Linked DNA regions of Callithrix jacchus. The protein of the gene in region 1 purifies or fractionates together with the protein of each later gene. This does not show direct contact. Links are inferred from orthologs where the notes say so. Each region holds a gene or a part of one and is shown in the gene's direction. Other genes may lie near its edges.

Region 1 (9,324 bases):
TTGAAAGCATCAAAGAGGTGCTTTGATGCTCTGCTTCATGTCTTCTGTATCCCAGAGTCCTCTCTTGCCAGGGTTCTGGGATGCAGAAGACGTAGAGCAGAGTCAAAGCCAAACTGTGGGCCAGGCGCTGTGGCTTATGCCTGTGACCCCAGCACTTTGGGAGGCTGAGGTGGACAGATCACTTGAGGTCAGGAGTTCAAGATCAGCCTGGCCAATATGGTGATACCCTGTCTCTACTAAAAATATAAAAATTAGCCAGGTATGGTGGCGCTTGCCTATAATTCCAGCTACTAGGGAGGCTGAGGTGGGAAGATTGCTTGAACCCGGGAGGTAGAGGTTGCAATGAGCTGAGATCACTCCAGCCTGGGTGACAGAGCAAGACTCTGTCTCAAAAACAAAACAAAGATTAGCAAGGCGTGGTGGTACACGCCTGTAATCCCAGCACTTTGGGAGGCCCAGGCAGGTGGATTACCTGAGGTGAGGACTTTGAGACTAGCCTGGCCAACATGGTGAAAACCCATCTCTACTAAAAATAGGAAAATTACCCGGGCATGATGGTGGGTGCTTGTAAGCTCAGCTACTCGGGAGGCTAAGACAGAATTGCTGGAACCTGGGAGGCAGAGATTGCAGTCAGCTGAGATCGCACCACTGCACTCAAGCTCAGCGACTCCATCTCAAAAAAAAAATTAGCCAGGCATGGTGGCACACACCTGTAGTCCCAGCTGGGAGGCTGAGGCAGGAGACTTGCTTGAACCTGGGAGGCGGAGGTTGCAGTGACCTGAGATTGTGCCACTGCATTCCAGCCTGGGCAACAAAGTAAGATTCTGTCTCAAAAAAACAAAATTTAAAAAAAGTATTGTTCCCAGTGTGGGATATCAGTGTCACATCTCCAAGGCTGGCACTTAGGGAAATGAGCCTGGACACCCTCCCAAGGCTAGAGTGACTAGCCCACTCCCAGACGTCCTTTTGCTACCCCTTCCTGATCTCGAACCTTAGTTATTGCAGGGAGAGGAGAAAGGTTGAAACCACAGCTGGTCGAGGGGATTCATTCAGTTTCATGGGACACCTTCTCTGTGCAGGCTGTGTTCAGGAACAGCCATGGACCACAAAGCCAGGCCACCTGGCACGTGTGCTCAGCGGCCAGGCTGGCAGGAAGTTACTCAGCCTCTCAGTGAGCAACCCAGACTCTGCTGTTATTTGTTTGTTCGTTGATAAAATGAGGCATCTTATCATTCTCATCAATTTCATGGGCTCACTGTGCGGAACACGCGAGCTGACTCCAACACAGCCTCCTCAGTAGGTGTTTCGGGAGCTGGCTATGGAGGCTGCCCCGCTCACTGCTTCCTTTCTAAGGGAGGCCATCTTCACATGCATGCACACACACAAACAGGATGGCCTGATGCAGACCAGCTGGTCTAGAAAGGCCTTGCTGGCCTCAGGGAGCCTGGGAGGTGGCCGGGGGAGACCATGAAACACAGACAGACCAGAGACCCAGAGATCAGAGAGATCAAAGGATCCAGAGACATCCAGACACCAGAGGCAACAAGAAACGGAAAGACTCAGAGGCCCATGGAGACCCGGGCAGCCTATTGCTTCCCGGCCTTTCGGCTGAGATCAAGTGTGAGACCCAGGCAGCTTGTTCTGTGTTACCAGGGGAAAAATAAAATAAAAGACAAAAGAAAGAAAAGAGAGACCCAGGGAGCCTCAGTGAAATTCAGAGACACCCACAGAGAGCCAGAGACCCTGCCCCAGCAAGGCACAGTCAGTGAATCAAAACTCACCCACCTGGCCCTGGTAGCCCAGGCCTCATTTCTCGGCTCAGCCCCTTGGCGCTGCATTTGTCAAGAGGGTAACGCGGATCCTAGCTCCCTGCCCTTCCTATGGTATCTCAGGCCCTGGGGTCCAGCTGGCCTGCCTTCACCCCTCTTGTAGCTGATGAAACTTCGGAGAGGCTTTCACCCTGGGGAGCCGCAGCTGGGTGCTGACTGGGTTCACAGGCAGAGAGGCGGGCGGTGTAGGCCAAACCACGCCCCCAGGGAGGCCCTGATTGGTGGACGGGCTGCGTTGGGCGGGCAGCCCTCAGGGTATATAAGTGCACTGGTTGGGTGGCCTGGGTTTTATGCTGTGGGCAATTCCTGAGGCCGGGTAAGGCTCTCTGCAGGAGGAGGCTGGGCTGCTTCTGCTTATGGGCATCTACATGAAGAGGCCCAAATTGGCCCTGGGGTGGTCGACCGCACTTTCTTCTCAGCCCGGTGGTTGGCATCTCTTTTCTCGGGGCTGAGGGTGGGTTTAGGACAGGAGCATGAAATGTTTGAAGTGGCCCCATCTCAACTTGCTCTAAATCCAGGTATTTCTCTAATTTCGTTCCTCCCTGTGGACCTCAGTTTCCCCTCGGTGTAAGGGATCAGTGGCCCTTTCAATTCTGCTTTGGTGAGGGGTCGGGGTGGTTGTGAGTTGGGGCCTGAAAAAGAAGCAGTTAACACAGTGGCTCATGCCTGTAATCCCAGCACTTTGGGAGGTCGAGGCGCGCGGATCACCTGAGGTGAGGAGTGCGAGCCCAGCCTGGCCAACACAGTGAAACCCTGTCTCTACCAAAAATTAAAAAAATTAGCCGGGCATGGTGGCAAGGCTGTAATCCCAGCTACTCTGGAGGCTGAGGGTGGAGAATGGCTTGAACTGGGGAGGAGGAGGTTGCAGTGAGCCAAGATTGTGCCTCTGCACTTCAGCCTGGGCTACAGAGAGAGACTGTCTCAACAAACAAACAAACAAAACCTCTTTGGGTTTTGGAGGCCAAGGGCTTCACTTTTAACTGGCTGTGAGGCCTCAGCCTTCAGTTTCCTTGTTTGAAAATGGGTCTGTGTTGAACATACCTCCTCACCAGGATGAAATAAGATAAAGCCCTTAAGCACAGCTCCAGACACTTAGGAAGCCCTCAGCAGTGCTTGTTGCTGCTGCTACTCTGCCTGTCCTGGGGTGCCAGGAGGAGGGCAGGAGTGCTGCAGCCTACAACAACTCTTTGCTGCTTTTCTGGCCTCCACACTCCTGTTGCAACCTGGCTGCCTTATATTCTGAGCCCCCAAGTCTCCACACCCACCCCTCCACCGTCCTGGCCCTTGTCACCACCCTTTTGATTCGTGGGAGTCACGGGGATACATGGTAAACCCTGAGCCTCCTTTCTCTACAGGTCACCCTGCTCCATCTCCATCTCCTATGAGATGGATGACTCCCAAGACCCCACCACTTCCGCTGTAGTTATGACCCAGGTAGAGCTGGAGGGCTGCAGCCAGCAAGGTGGGGGCAATGGGTTCCTCAGTTTTCGCCAGCACGAAGAGCTCCAGGCCTTCCTCAACCTTCTGGGTGAGTTTGTGGGGCTAGCATGGGAGGGTTGTGAGACCAAGTGTGAAGGCAGATGTGAAGTATGGGGTCTCATCTGCCTGTACAGCCATCTGAGGCCTCTGCCCTCTCCCTCTGAGGTGACCCAGCTTAGGTAGGTCGGGGGTAGGGGGTCCTCTCAGAAACTGGGTTCAGCGCCAGGTGCCATGACTCACATCTGTAATCCCAACACTTTGAGAGGCTGAGATGGGAGGATCAGTTGAGGCCAGGAGATGAAGACCAGCCTGATCAACATAGTGAGACCCCATCTCTATTTATATTAAGAAAGAAAGAGACAGAGAAAGAAAGAGAGAGAGACGGGGGGGGGGGGGGGAAACAGAAAAAGAGGGAGAAAAAAAGAAGGCAGGCACAGTGGCTCACACCTGTAATCCCAACACTCTGGAAGGCTGAGGTGAGTGGATCACCTGAGGTTGGAAGTTCAAGACCAGCCTGACCAACATGGAGAGACCCTGTCTCTACTAAAACTATAAAATTAGCCAGACATGGTGGCACATGCCTGTCATCCCAGCTACTTGGGAGGCTAAGGCAGGAGAATTGCTTGAACCAGGGAGGTGGAAGTTGCAATGAGCCAAGATTGTGCTATTGCACTCCAGCCTGGACAAGAGCAAAACTCCGTCTCCAAAAAAAAGGGCTGAGTGGTGGCTTGAGCTTTGCAGCTTCCGATGCCACTCTTCTCCACGGAGGCTGTGGTAACCTGCGTCCCGTCTTCTCTACCTTCAGAGGACAGTTTTGTCCAGGAATTCCTCTCCAAAGACCCCTGCTTCCGGATTTCAGATAAGGTGAGGGAGCACAGTGGGGCTGGAGGCTGGGGGTCGCCCGAGGGTCAGGTTGAGTTGGTGGGAATTGAATGTGGCTACTTTATTGAGTGCCCTGGTCAGGTAGGGAGAGCTGCTCACGTTTCACCCTTGCCCCTCATCTTCACACACCCCTCCCCACTGCTTTCCCGACTTTCTTTCCCTGCAGCAAAACCTCCTTGGTTACAAATGAACCTGGATGCAAGCCCCTTCTCCTCAGAGGATAACTAATCCCCCGCCTCCCCATCTGTCTCTGCAGTATCTCCTGGCCATGGTGCTGGTCTACTTCCAGCGCGCCCGCCTGAAGCTCAGCGAGTACACCCACAGCAGCCTGTTCTTGGCCCTGTGAGTGGTGGGGACAGGGAGTGGAGGCGTTTGCTGGAGGTGTCTGATGGGGCGGGGTGATGCTGTGGCCTCTGCTCCTTGACCCCGTGCTTCTGTGGCTAGGTACCTTGCAAATGACATGGAGGAGGACCTGGAGGGGCCCAAATGTCAGATTTTTCCATGGGCCCTGGGAAGAGATTGGTGTTTACGAGTGGGGAAGTTCCTACAGCAGAGGGATAAGCTCTGGGCACGGATGGGTTTCCGGGCTGTCGTGAGCCGCCAGTGCTGTGAGGAGGTGAGGCTGGGGGGGCAGCCTGGGGTGTGGGAAAGGCTGGTGGTTCCCACCCCACTTACTGTCCACTATGCTCCTCCCAGGTCATGGCAAAGGAGCCATTTCACTGGGCTTGGACTCGGGACCGGCGCCCCCACCATGGCGGGGTTCAGAGGGTCTGTCCACAGGTCCCTTTCCGCCTTCCCCGGGGCCCTGGCCTCTCACCACCCCACTGTTCCCCCTGTGGCTTGCCCCAGCACCCCGGCTGCCACCCACTTAAGCCTGTGTCACTCAAGTGCTCTTCTCTGACCTCGGAGTGTCATCGCCTTCCCTCCCAAAATTCACTCTCAGCGTTCAAAAACACCTGGGGTGGGGACTTTCTCCTCATCTTACCTCCCCAGATTCAACTGGAACCTGACACCTACTGCCTCCGAAGTGAGTACAGGATAGGGCAGGACAGGAGCTTCGATCTGGGGTGGGAGCTTGGGAGGCAGGAGGGAGAACCAACAGGATGAGAGGGAGGGCCATGGGCCTGGGATCGAAGTGCTGCTGCCCCTCCTGTGTGAGCTTGGCGGGTTTCCCCTCTGAGTCTCACTCTCTCCTCTCCCCAGTTTTCCCAAAGCTTCTGCCACGCCCTGGGCACTGAAGCTCTGTAGGGTGAAGAATGTCACGCCTGCTGGCCCACTGACCCACACGCCATCAGCCGTGCTCCCACCCCTGCCCCTTCCTCCCAGCCTGCAGCTTTACCCATGCTGGTCCTGGTCCCCTCTAATAAATTCATGTCCACAAGACACCAGCTGTGCTTAGGTCCTGGCCTGGATCCTTGACCTCTGGTCGGGGTGGGGAGGGGGAGTCTACCAGGGTTTTAACATATGAGCACAGGCTGTGTCACAGCTTGCCCCTTCCTTTTTTCTTTTTTCAGAAGTGTGTAGTGACAGCTTGGCCCCTTCAGTTATCCTGAGCCTCAGTTTTCCTCTCTGTAATATCCATGCCTATGGATAATGAGATCTACGCAGCGTTGATGGGATTAAATGATATGAGGTATCCTCAGGCCTTAGAAGAGGACCAGGGAGCTGGGTGTGGTGGCTCATGCCTGTAATCCTAGCACTTTGGGAGGCTGAGGCAGGTGGATCATTTGAGGTCAAAACTAGCCTGGCCAACGTGGCAAAACCCTGTCTCTACTAAAGATACCAAAATTAACCAGGCATGGTGGCACACACCTGTGATCCCAGCTACTTGGAGGCCGAGGTGGGAGAATGGCTTGAACCAGGGAGGCAGAGGTTGCAATGAGTCGAGACTGTGCCACTGCCCTCCAGCCTGGATGACAGGGTGAGACTCTCTCAAAGAAAATAAGAGAGGGCCACGAACGTATTGGGAAACAAAAGTTGAATGGAAAACAGCTCTTTATTCAGTCTAGAAATGCCTTTAGGACCAGGTTTACGTAGGCATCAGACTTGATCCCTTCCCTGAGCTGCAATCAAATATAATATTGTAATTATAATACAACCCCCTCCTCCCAAGAGACATGGGAACTCAAAAGGATTAATTTCTTTTTTTTTTTGGATACAGTTTTACTCTGTTGCTAGGCGCCAGACTGGAGTGCAGTGGCACAATCCCGGCTCACTGCAACCTCCGCCTCCCCGGTTCAAGCAATTCTCCTGCCTCAGCCTCCCGAGTAGCTGGGACTACAGGCACGTGCCACCATGCCCAGCTAATTTTTTTGTATTTGTAGTAGAGACGGGGTTTCACCATGTTGGCCAGGATGGTCTCGATCTTTTGACCTCGGGATCTGCCCGCCTCAGCCAACATAATGAGACCTCATCTCAACAAAAAAGAATTTAAAAATTAGCTGAGTGTGTTGGCGCATGCCTGTAGTCCCAGCTACTTGGGAGGCTGGGGTGGGAGGATCACTTGAGTCCAGGAGTTGGAGGCTACAGTGAGCTATGATTACACCTGTGTACTCCAGCATGGGCGACAGAGTGAGAGCCTGTCTCAAGACACACATACATGTATTTGGTTCCTGACAGAGCTCCTGAAACCCTTGTAATTTTCTAAGTGATAGAATTGTCTTTTCTTGACAGCAACCCCCACATTTCCATTAATCCTAACAAGACCACACCTGAGTTTATGCTAACGAGGTGAGATGATGCAGCCTGGGAGACTAGAGATTGGGTTAAAGAAACAGGTGGATGTGCCGGGAGGGTGGGGAGGGCACAGAAGCTCTGTGCACCACACCCGCAGTGCCTTGCCCTGTGCAACTCTTCCAGCTGGCTGTTTCGGAATTGTTTCCTTCGTATTAAACAGGTAGTACCCTAGGAAGTGAGGTGCTGTTCAAAGTTCTGTAGTCATCTACTGCATTATCAAACCTGAGGAGGAGTTGGGGGAACCTTAATTTGTAGTTTGCCAGAGAAGTGTCAGTTGCCTGGGCACCCCATTTTTGGCTGGTATTTGAAGTGGGGTTAGCCTTGGGGTACTGAAGCCTTAACCTCTGGGGTCTGTGCTAATGCCAGGAGTTAGTGTCACGATGGAACTGAATTGTTCAACACCCCATTGGTATTGGAAAATTGGTGTGGAAAATGTATTTTGTGAGAAAAAGACACCATACCAGATATGTATATATTTCCCACCCAGTTTTTATTAAATACCAGAACTCCTTGCATCTTGTGGTGCACTTATGAATGTATTTTGAAGAAGATTCTCTTTTTTTTTTTTTTTTGAGATGGAGTCTTGCTCTATCACCCAGGATGGAATGCAATGGCGAAATCTTAGCTCACTGCAACTTCCACCTCCCCGGCTCAAGCAATTCTCCAGCCTCAGCCTCCCGAGGAGCTTGGATTACAGGCTTGCAGCACCATGCCCAGCTCATTTTTGTCTTTTTAGTAGAGACAGGGTTTTGCCATATTGGCCAGGCTGGTCTCAAACTCCTGACCTCAGGTGATCTGCCTGCCTCAGCCTCCCAAAGTGCTCGGATTACAGGTGTGAGCCACCACACCCAGCCATTTTTTTCCCCTTTTTTTTGAGACAGAGTCTTGCTTTGTTGCCCAGGCTGGAGCGCAGTGGCATGATCATGGCTTACTGTGTCCTCCACCTTCAGGGTTCATGCGATTGTCCTGCCTCAGCCTCCCAAGTAGCTGGGATTACAGGCACCTGCCACCATGCTTGGCTAATTTTTGTTTTGTTTTGTTTTGATACGGAGTTTCACTCTGTTGCCCATGCTGGAATGCAGTGGTGCAATCTTAGCTCACTGCAACCTCCACCTCCTGGGTTCCAGCAATTCTCCTGCCTCAGCCTCCTGAGTAGCTGGGACTACAAGTGCGTGCTGCCACGCCCGACTATTTTTTGTCGTTTTAGTAGAGAACAGGATTTCACTGTTTTGGTCAGGCTGGTGAAGAGGTTTTTTGTATTCATGCATTTCTTGCTACAGCAGTGTTGTTGTTGTTGTTGTTGTTGTTTTGAGATGGAGTCTCACTTTGTCACCCAGGCTGGAGTGCAGTGGCATGATCTCAGCTCACTGCAACCTCCACCCTCTAGGTTCAAGTGATTCTCTTGCCTCTGCCTCCTGAGTAGCTGGGATTATAGGCGCCTGCCACCGTGCCCGGCTAATCTTTGTATTTTTATTTTTTTTATTTTTGAGACAGAGTTTCTCTGTTGTTACCCAGACTGGAGTGCAATGGCACGATCTCGACTCACTGCAACCTCTGCCTCCTGGGTTCAAGCAATTCTCCTGCCTCAGACTCCTGAGTAGCTGGGACTACAGGCGTGCACCACCATGCCCAGCTAATTTTTGTATTTTTATTTTTAATTTTTTTTTTTGAGACGGAGTTTTGCTCTTGTTACCCAGGCTGTAGTGCAATGGTGCGATCTCGGCTCACCACAACCTCTGCCTCCTGGGTTCAAGCAATTCTCCTGCCTCAGCCTCCCGAGTAGCTGGGACTACAGGCATGCACCACCATGCCCAGCTAATTTTTGTATTTTTAGTAGAGATGGTGTTTCACCTTGTTGACCAGGATGGTCTCGATCTCTTGACCTCATGATCCACCCGCCTCGGCCTCCCAAAGTGCTGGGATTATAGGCGTGAGCCACCACGCCCGGCCGTAATTTTTGTATTTTTAGTAGAGATGGGGTTTCAACATATTGGCCTGGCTGGTCTTGAACTCCTGACTTCATGATCCACCTGCCTTGGCCTCCCAAAGTGCTAGGATTATAGGCATGAGCTGCCATGCCCAGACCAGGATTTTTTTCTATGTATGGAGAAAAATACTCCTTTAAGCTGTTAATTGTAAATATTTTCTTCAGTCCATCATTTTGAAACAATATGGATTTTTAATGTAGTAAAAAATGTACTTTTATGACTTTGGGTTTTGTGTCATAGTTAAAAAGACTGTTTCCACACTGGGATGATACAAAAATTCCTCCTTTAGCTCCTGGCTGTATTTTCTTTTTTTTTTAAGTCTCACTCTACAGCCCAGGCTGGAATGCAGTGGTGTGATCTCCGCTCACTACAACCTCTGTCTCTTGGGTTCAAGTGATTCTTGTGCCTCA
Region 2 (9,324 bases), on another chromosome or scaffold:
CCTCTCAAAAGCCCTACATCTTAATGCCATCACCTTGGGATTTAAATTCTAACATATGCGTTTTGGAGGGGCGCATACCTTCAAATCATAGCAATCCCTAAGTGATATGTACTTCAGTTTCCATGAAACTCACACCTACCCTTGGCCATATCCAGTCATGTGGTTGTCCCACAGTACTTCACTATCAGTATGCCCAAAGTGATGCTCCATGCCCCATAGCTGCCCCTTAGCCTCTCTCTGGAACAGCAGGACCCTCAGCCTGTTACAAAGACACACACCCGAGTCATCCCTGATGGCTCCTTCCCCCTTATTTAATCCAGTCCCAGCTCCTAAAAATATCTCATCATCATTTCCTCCTCTTGAAACTGATTGCTATCTCCCCAAGTTCAGCACCTGCTGGGGCTGTTGCAGAGCCTTCCAATGTCTGCCGGCTCTGATGCTGCCTCATCAGCCCTTCTCGTGACTTTTCCTTCCTAACTCCCACTTATGACTATGTCACTTCCTTATTCACATATTTTTTTTGAGTCCAACCTTTAATCCAAATATTTTAGCATGACTTTGAACATTATCTTCAAGGTGTGGATATTATTTAACTCCCTAGCCTAATGTTTATGACCCTTGTTCAGCCCCTAGACTCTATTTATGTTCCAGCATACTGAATTAATTTCAGTCAGCAAACTCACATTGTTCTTTTTTGTCAATGGATCAAGAAGCTATCCACATTCATTTAACTGCTTGTCAAACTCTTTTCAATCCTTAAGACTTGGTTCAGTCACCTTTGCTATGAAGCCTTGCTTAATGACCTCTCCACTAGGTTCTGCACAGAGCAGTCTTCACCGTATTGCATTGTAAACATTTGTACCCCACCTAAGTGGAGATCCACATCTACTCACCTGGTATCCTTGATCCTCTTTAGTCCCAAGGTTGATGTATGAATCTCTTCTCCCTACATCATGCCCAGTTTCTAAAATTCCAGAGAGATTAAGGTAAATTGACATGTATGCATTTAAAGTACAATTACCAAGAGGTTTAGAGTGATCTCTTTCTCTTTTGGGGGAGGGAATGAAAATGGGGAAGATGGAAGTTGTGTATGACAAACTTTTATTATCTGTATTTTACATTTTGAATTAATTTTTTAAAATTTACAGAAAAATTACATTACTTTTATAATCAGAAAAATGTCCAACTGTGTCATAGCAACAATAGTTCAGTATTTTCACTTGTGATGAAAAGACTTGAATCTATATATCTTGCATAATCTATCACTTTTCTTTCTGAATTAACATGAAGAAAGATCAATCTTCTTCTTTTGGATATATTTTGCAGAAACTTTTACATTTTTCTTTCTTTTAATATATTTGTCTGTATAGAGACAGGGTCTTACTATGTTGCCCTGGCTGGTCTCAAACTCTTAGTCTCAAGGGATCCTCCATCTTGGCCTCCCAAATTGCTGGGATTACAGGTGTGAACCACTGTGCTGGGCCAATTTTTACAATTTTTATTCAGTAGCAGTGGAGGCCTTGGCAAGACTGATTCATTCATTCATTCATTCATTCATTTATTTTGGGGCTGGGGTAGTACATTCACATGGCTCAACATTTGAAAGATACAAAACTCTCCTTTCTCACCTCTGCCAGGTCACTCTTGTGTTCCACAGAGGCATATTTTTATTAGTTTCTTCCACCTCCTTTCCAAGGTGTATTTTCTTTTTCCTTTTCTTTATTTTTGAGTTGGAGTCTTGCTGTGTCACCCAGGCAATGGTGCAGCCTTGGCTCACTACAATCTCCACCTCCCAGGTTCAAGCAATTCGCCTGCCTCAGTCTTTGGAGTAGGTGGGGTTACAGGTGCCTGCCACCACACCTGGCTAATTTTTGTATTTTTAGTAGAGATGGGGTTTCACCCTATTGGCCAGGCTGGTCTCTTGGCCAGGCTGGTCTTGAACTCCTGACATTGTGATCCACCCGCCTAGGCCTCCCAAAGTGATGGGATTACACGCATGAGCCACTGTGCCCTCCTAAGGTGTATTTTTAAGCAAATGTTCGCAAATATTTCTTATCTAAAAAAACCACTTGTCTTGACCTGGGCTGCCACAACAAAATGCCATAGACTAGGTGGCTTAAACAACAAAATTTTATTTTCCCTGAGTTCTGGAGGCTCAGTGTGCAAGTTCAGAGGGCGGGCAACATCAGATTCTGATGCAGGCTCTCTTCCTCACAGATGGAATTCTAATGTCACATGGCAGAGAGTGAGAGTTACCAAGCTGTTGGGCTTTTCTTCTTAATGAGAGCCCTAAACCCATCATGAGAGCTTCACCTTCATGACCTCATCTAAACCTAATTACCTCCCAAAGCCCCGTCTCCAAACATCACCCCAGCTGGGTGAGAACCTCAATATATGAACTTGGGGAGTCGGGGGAGAACAAACATTCAACATAGCAATACTTAAATATAAAAATAAATAAATAAGACTTACATGCAATACCATTCTTTTCCTTCCAAAATGCATTTACCAAAATATAAATATGACAATTTTCAGAGCACATGCCTGCCCTTGCTCTCCTCTTCAGATTTTTTTTTTTCATACCACCTCTAGGGTAGTTTTACTAAGATATGGTTCTAAGGCTGCGTGTCCCTTTCCTGCTCAGATCCTTTGGAACAGTGTTCAGGGCTCCTCAGGATTCTGACTCCAAACTCCCTTTTCTGACTTTAACGTCACAGGATGCAGCACTCCCTGCATTTTACCACAGAGGGCACCCTAAATTACTTGGGTTGACTTTCTGGCCTCTGTGCTTTACTCATACAATTTCCTCTGTTTCCCCAGCATTTGCTCAAATGTCCCTTCCGTTTGCATTAGCAATTTCCTCCTCTGTGTTCTCACATCGCCCTATAACGTAAGTTCCAAGGTGAATACCAGAAGAGAATCCCTCAGTAATCATCCTGTTCCCCTACTCTCAACACCTCCAGCAGTAATTGGATCTTATTCATTTTTGTGTCTATGAAGCACAGTGTTGCACTTTAGAGACACTATATAGAAGTTGGTCCAAAGGGTAATAAACTGTATTTGCCAAGATGATAACATGGATTTACAAGAACCTCTGAAACTTTATATAGAAAGATGATTGAGTTAATTGGTACACCTAGCATCACAGTTGTGGAAGCTTGTGGTCTTCTTTATGTTGAAGGTAAAATGGATATAATAAATTAGTTGCCATTTTTAGATGATACAGAAATTGAATTCCTTAAGCCTCTCAAAGAGAAAGACATATTAAAATTCATAAAACCAGTACCATAAACTGCACGGAACAGCCTGGATCCTGAAAGCACTTCTCTGGGGCAGTCAGTTTTCATTTAAACAATGAACTTTTTATTTTAAAAGTTTTAAAAGTTATTAGGCTCCAGCAGGAGTTCTTAAATTCCTACCTCCACCATGAATCCCAAATGCTCTGCCTCTGTCACCTAGGAGCAAAAATTTTCAAGATTGAGCCAGATGCAAAGTATAGCACCAGACGATAGATGCAGCTCATTGTGTAAAAAGGTATTAAACACTTAAATGCATGTGATATAGTCTATATCACAAGGATAAGGAAGTTCCATTCCATATCCTAATTTGGGTCTTCTAATACATATTTGTAGTGGGTGTGGCAATCAGTCTTTGTTCTATGTCCTATTAGGGTCAATGCAACTAAAAATCCTTAAAATGGAGACTTTCATTACGTCTAGCTCTGTTTTATTTACTTATTTTAAAAAGACGTCAGAATGGTGTTTAGGTTGAGCTGGTGATTACACTTGTAATCCCAGCACATTCAGAGGCCAAGGCAGGAGGATCCATGGAGCCTAGGATTGGAGGCCAGCTAGGGTAACATGAGGAGACTCTGTCTCTGCAAACAAGCAGAAGAAAGAAAGGGAGAAACAGAGAGAAAGAGAGAGAGAAAGAAAGAAAAGAAAAAAGAGAGAGGGAGGGAGGGAGAAAGGAAGGGAAGGAAGGAAGGAAGGAAAAGAGGGAGGGAAAAAGATATTGAAGTGCAGTAAGTGCAGAAATCGCTCTTAAGGATATTGTGGAGGGCATTGAAGACAGCGTTTTTGACACTGTATTATTTAAAGCATAATTTAAGTCTGTTTTTCTTCCCTCATACAATTGTGAATTTTTGTGTTTTCATAATATTTAAGCCGGGCGTGAAACCGGACGTTGTGCCGAGTGCCTGTACTCGCAGCTACTCCGGAGGCTGAGGCCAATTGCTTGAGTCCAGGAGTTGGGGGCCAGAATAAGCAACGTGATGAGACCCAGTCTCTAAATATATGTCTCTCTATATATTTAAAATTCTGATGTGAAAATATTTTAAAATTTAAAACATTTCAAATGTTTTAAACAAAAATGTAAATAATAAATTAAAATTCAAACGAAGTAGAAACAAAGCACAACGATATAAATAATAAATATTCTTTTACATTTTTGAGGCGGTCTGTTGAGTTTTCCATTTTCTTCTTAAGGTGGCTGAAATGTGCTCTTTGGAGCCAGCCCGCAAATCACGCATTTAGAAAAACGTAACTATACACTGCTTACCCTAAGTATTAGATGTTAAAGTAATGGAATCTGGATGTAAACACAATATCCCTTTTTTGCTTTGAGTGATGAGCTATTTTGAGTGTAATAAATTTGAACTGTGGCAATGCTGGGAGAAAAAAACTAAAAAAAAGAACGGAGCAAGTAGTAGCTTCCCGCTCCGCTGACTAGAAACAGTAGGACGACACTCTCAGGGCTGGAGAGCGCCCGCCCTCCTGCTTTTTCTCCAGCCGCCCTTTCCTCTCTCTTTCGCGCTCTACCCACCCACGAGGCCTGCCCAAGCGTAGCTGGGCTCTGATTGGCTGCTTTGAAAGTCTACGGGCTACCTGATTGGTGGATCTGGGACCCTTTAGCGCGGCGAGTTTGAAACTGCTCGCACTTCGCTTCAAAGCTGGCTCTTGGAAGTTGAGCGGAAAGCGACGTGGCTGTGGTAGTTGCCTCTGCTGCCGCCGTGGGATAATAAGCCGGGTAGAGTGGCTGGTGTCGGGGTCGCTCCTAGAGGCTGAGCCCAGGGGCCTCAGAGGCTGGGTATTGAGGAACGGAGTCCTCATAGGAGGCCGGGCTTGGGGAGCAGGGATCTGCGCAGAGCCAGGCTGGGTCTCTGGAGGGCAGGCAGGGCCTTCTCCTGGGCCGGGGCCTGGGCATGTGAGCCACACCGGGCCGGCTTTAGAGTGAGGCTGACGGAGCCCAGCCGGGGTTGTGGGGGTGGCGGTTGGGGCTGCCTGCAGTCAGGGCTCGAGGTCGGCTTCTCTCAGAAACTTACTGGGGAGGCTTTCGGGTCAAGGTTGAAGCACAATCCGCTCCCCTATGGTGAGCGCCTGCGAAGTGGCCGGCTCCTTCCTGCACCCGCCCCCTGCGCGCCCTCCCATCCTGCCTCGGGGGTGAGCAAGCGGCACCGCACCTGGGCCAGGTACGGGCGCAGGTTCCTAAAGCCAGGCCGCCCTGAGAAACAGCTCCCGGGACTCGTGGGCCTTCTCGAGCTGGCTCTGCCCACGGCCCCGGCCCACCTGGAGTTTTTAAGAACACTCAGCCCAGGCACTCAACACTCAAGAGCAGTGTAGTGCAGTTTTTGTTGTTGTTGTTGTTTTCATTTAGAAATATACCTCGGCTTCCTTCTGGATTGATTTTTCTTTGAAGATGAATGAGAAATAGAACTTAAAAATCTATTCAGAGTGGTATTTATAAATGATTTTATCGTCAGGGATGCGTGTTAGAAAAATCGAAGTAATTATGCCTGGACTTCTGACGTTTCATTGGCAAACTTAAGAGGAAGTCTTGAACTTCTGATTGTCAGCTCTTTTTTTTTTAACCATTCATTGTGATTCAAGTATACAGCGTTTCTGCTTGGTCCTTGAAATTGCGTAGGCTATAATTATAATTTATCTGTAGAATTGCACTTTTCATTCTTTTGTTTTAGCGTGCTTAAGTGGTATTTCCTACTCGTGCAAAAAGTATCTTGAAAGCCTTGAGCATGTTTTTCTGTGACCTCTACAAGCAAAGGAAAAAGATTAAAATTGTCACGTGGGCAACTGTAAACACTTACACGTTTTTGCCGCTTTAAACACAATCTTCCTAATGAACAGTCTGAACACATTTTAGTTCTATATCTTTAAAAAACCGTGTTTTGCATAATGTTAGGAATATCATAAAGCGGTATAAATTTGTTGAAATATTTCGGTATAAACAAAAAAAATTTCGGTATAACTTTGGTACATGCTGGTACTACTTTAAATTGTCAAATAAAGGGAACATTCTGGTTTTTGTTTGGAAAGAACAGACAAATTGATTTCTGAATTTGAGGGTTATTTTGATTGGAAGACGCTAAATACTATACTAGGATGGAATATACAAATGTTTCCAATGTCTCAGGAGTCAAGAAGGATGGAAAGTTATTGTAGGAGTTCTTACCCTTGTAAATATTTGAATGTAATTAATATTTATGGAATATTTACTATACTGCAGTATGCATTGTGGAAAATGCTTTATATATAGTATCTCAATACTTAAAACTACTCGAGTTAGTGGCATGTAATTAAGTCAGTTTTTCCCTTCATTTTAGGATCTACCATACCTATTGACTAACTATGGAAGATTATACTAAAATAGAGAAAATTGGAGAAGGTGAGTGGCTTTAGTAATATAACATTTTTTAGAATGATTTAACAATGCTACCACCAACTTCTGTAATATGAACACATGTAAATATTTGTTAAAATTTAACGACTAAGATGTCTTGTAATATCAATGTATATTAATATATGTTGTTTACATAGTAACTTAAACACAAATTTGTTCATATTTCAAGAGAATCAAAATTATTGAGTCCCTAATGATCCTTCCCCTCACCCCCATAGTCTTACATTCTGCTGATACCCAACACTTACAGCATTACTCTTGTTTTGAAGACACTGTTGATAACTTGTACATGTATTTAGGGACAGAGGTTAGGGCAGCAGCATTATGCTAATTTCATAATATATTTTTAGTCTCAGTTATTTTTAAGATGATAAATGTTTTTATTCAGATTTTCTAGACTGGTTACAATAATTGACTTAATCTTCTATTAAGTCAGTCTTGACTTAAGTTAATTTTGATATTTAGTTACCTTAAGTATAAATGACCTGTCATATGTAGGTGTTTAATCTATTCTAAAACTATAACTTATGTATATAATCATTCCCTTTCTGTGATACTTGAAGGAATGTTTAGCTCTATATATGGCACAAATCATATCCCTTAACCTGTCCCCTTGAGTCCCGCAACAGAACATCCCAGTTTCTTTCCAGGAGTTTTGACATTCTCAATTCTCCGGGAACAAAATAATTTGCTAATAGAGTCCAGTTTGTATAGGTTCTGGCTGAAGAAAATTCCCAACTATATTTTTAATGTGATCAAAGACTCCACTTGGGAAGAAATAATAAAAAACAATGGGGCTATACTGGAGGGAATTTAGTGAAATAGGAATGACAAGTTAGTGTAGTGGTAGATTGGATGTGTGTGTGTGTGTATATATTTTTTAATCACTTAAATACCTAATTCATACCCATTCTAAATGAATTTTGCTGCTGAATTACAAATATGTGATAAGTATGTCTAATGCCTTGTAGTATGTTTCTTAAATTTTCAGAGAATTAGTGTTGATTGCAGTTTGGCATAAAAGGAGACCTTTTTTTTTTCCTTCATTTTGTTTTTATTATAGCATGTTTGCTTAATTTACAGCAAGCAGAAAATAAGCTGGGTCTTGTTTTGATCCAAACATTGATGTTTTAAAGGTTGTACACAATATTTCTTAAAAAGAACATATAAAAGTACCTTTTTAGAAGCCTCTATAAGAAAGAAAATACAAAGTTTAACCCCACAACTTTCCTCTTTTCTAGAACTGCAAACTACTGCTACAGTTTTAAATAGACTTTTTGTTGTTTATACATCCAGGAAAATCTAAAAAATTAAAGAAACGTGCATATAAATGATTGCATAGCAGAACATGAACATTAACTGCAAACAGTAAAGAAATGAAGATTAGAAATACTATCAAATATACAAAGGTTCTAAAATAATCAGTCCTTTAAACACATTCCACAAGCAGTATTTAAAATCCATCATTTTATTCTTTACAGGCAAAGCCTAGATTCCAAAAACCAAAATTGAAAAAAGTAATTCTCTAAAAGGAATTGTTTCTCCATAGTTCTTACTTATATCTGTAAGCAAGCAATCTGATTTTTAAAGATGCTAGCTTTTTATTCTGAAATGAAATTGGGCATGTCAAGTCACTTTTGTCCCCCAAACAATCTTTCAGAGAAATACTAGAAATTAGAAATGGGTAAGGATATTACTTCATTTTTTAGTCAGCTACTACACTCATAATCACAAACTCAGATGTGACTCTTGCTCAAAACTAATGCTTTTTCCAAAATTATTTTTAATTTCATGGTACCACAGAATCGCCTAGAATGAGTGTTATCTTTCAACTTGCCTCATATTAAATAAACTAAGGTGTGAAAAGCAGGCCTCGCTCATAAAGAGGCAGGCAAATTTTGATACAAATGCACAGGCCAAGTGCTGTAAGCATCAAAAAATTTTAGTTCTTTTACACTGTGCACACACACACACACAGAAGCTACTTTGAAACAATTTACTCCCTTCTAACAGCAGTAAGAAAACTAAGCAATATTATGGTCAACAATGCTCCTTAAACTTCAGAATAATTACATAAGAATATTCCTTTCTCCTTAAAATTATTTTTGCTGTTGTTGACCTGCTCAAATTTTAGGATAAGTTTTCGTGTTTTCTATGTTCCAAATCTTCACAGGAACCAGAAAAAAAGCAGTGAAGCCTCTGTGTTTCAGTCAAAAACTCAATCTCCCTGAAAATACTACCTAACCCAGCTGGCATCATTCCCCCAAGACAGTGGGGTTAACAAAAGAACTAATCCACACTTCATCATAAGTAATTATCATGGGCCTAGACTTTTTTTTTTTTGAGTTGGAGTCTCACTCCATCACCCAGGCTGGAGTGCAGTGATGCAATCTTGGCTCACTGCAACTGTCACCTCCCAGGTTCCAGCAATTCCCCTGCCTCAGCCTCCCAAGTAGCTGGGATTACAAGCGTGCACCACCACGCCCAGCTAATTCTGTCTTTTTAGCAGAGGGTATTTCATCCTGTTGGTCAGGCTGGTCTCGAATGCCTGACCTCATGACCCACCTACCTCGGCCTCCCAAAGTGCTGGGATTACAGGCATGAGCCACTGCGCCTGGCCGGGCCTAG

The links.
Region 2: the proteins of SPDYC (region 1) and CDK1 purify together in Homo sapiens (co-immunoprecipitation; 3 studies listed by BioGRID and IntAct, with this or other methods). This does not show direct contact. The link is inferred for Callithrix jacchus from reciprocal best matches to the Homo sapiens genes SPDYC and CDK1.

The regions. Positions count from the first base shown.
Region 1 is NC_133511.1:122,244,492-122,253,815, forward strand, and holds SPDYC (speedy protein C), read left to right. Parts: upstream 1-3,086; 5' UTR 3,087-3,215; coding exon 3,216-3,357; intron 3,358-4,113; coding exon 4,114-4,172; intron 4,173-4,446; coding exon 4,447-4,532; intron 4,533-4,634; coding exon 4,635-4,806; intron 4,807-4,886; coding exon 4,887-5,297; 3' UTR 5,298-5,393; downstream 5,394-9,324. UniProt on the Homo sapiens protein: Promotes progression through the cell cycle via binding and activation of CDK1 and CDK2. Involved in the spindle-assembly checkpoint. Required for recruitment of MAD2L1, BUBR1 and BUB1 to kinetochores.
Region 2 is NC_133513.1:69,675,048-69,684,371, reverse strand, and holds the start of CDK1 (cyclin-dependent kinase 1), read left to right. Parts: upstream 1-4,935; 5' UTR 4,936-5,088; intron 5,089-5,451; exon of another isoform or gene 5,452-5,470; intron 5,471-6,619; 5' UTR 6,620-6,644; coding exon 6,645-6,681; intron 6,682-9,324. UniProt on the Homo sapiens protein: Plays a key role in the control of the eukaryotic cell cycle by modulating the centrosome cycle as well as mitotic onset; promotes G2-M transition via association with multiple interphase cyclins.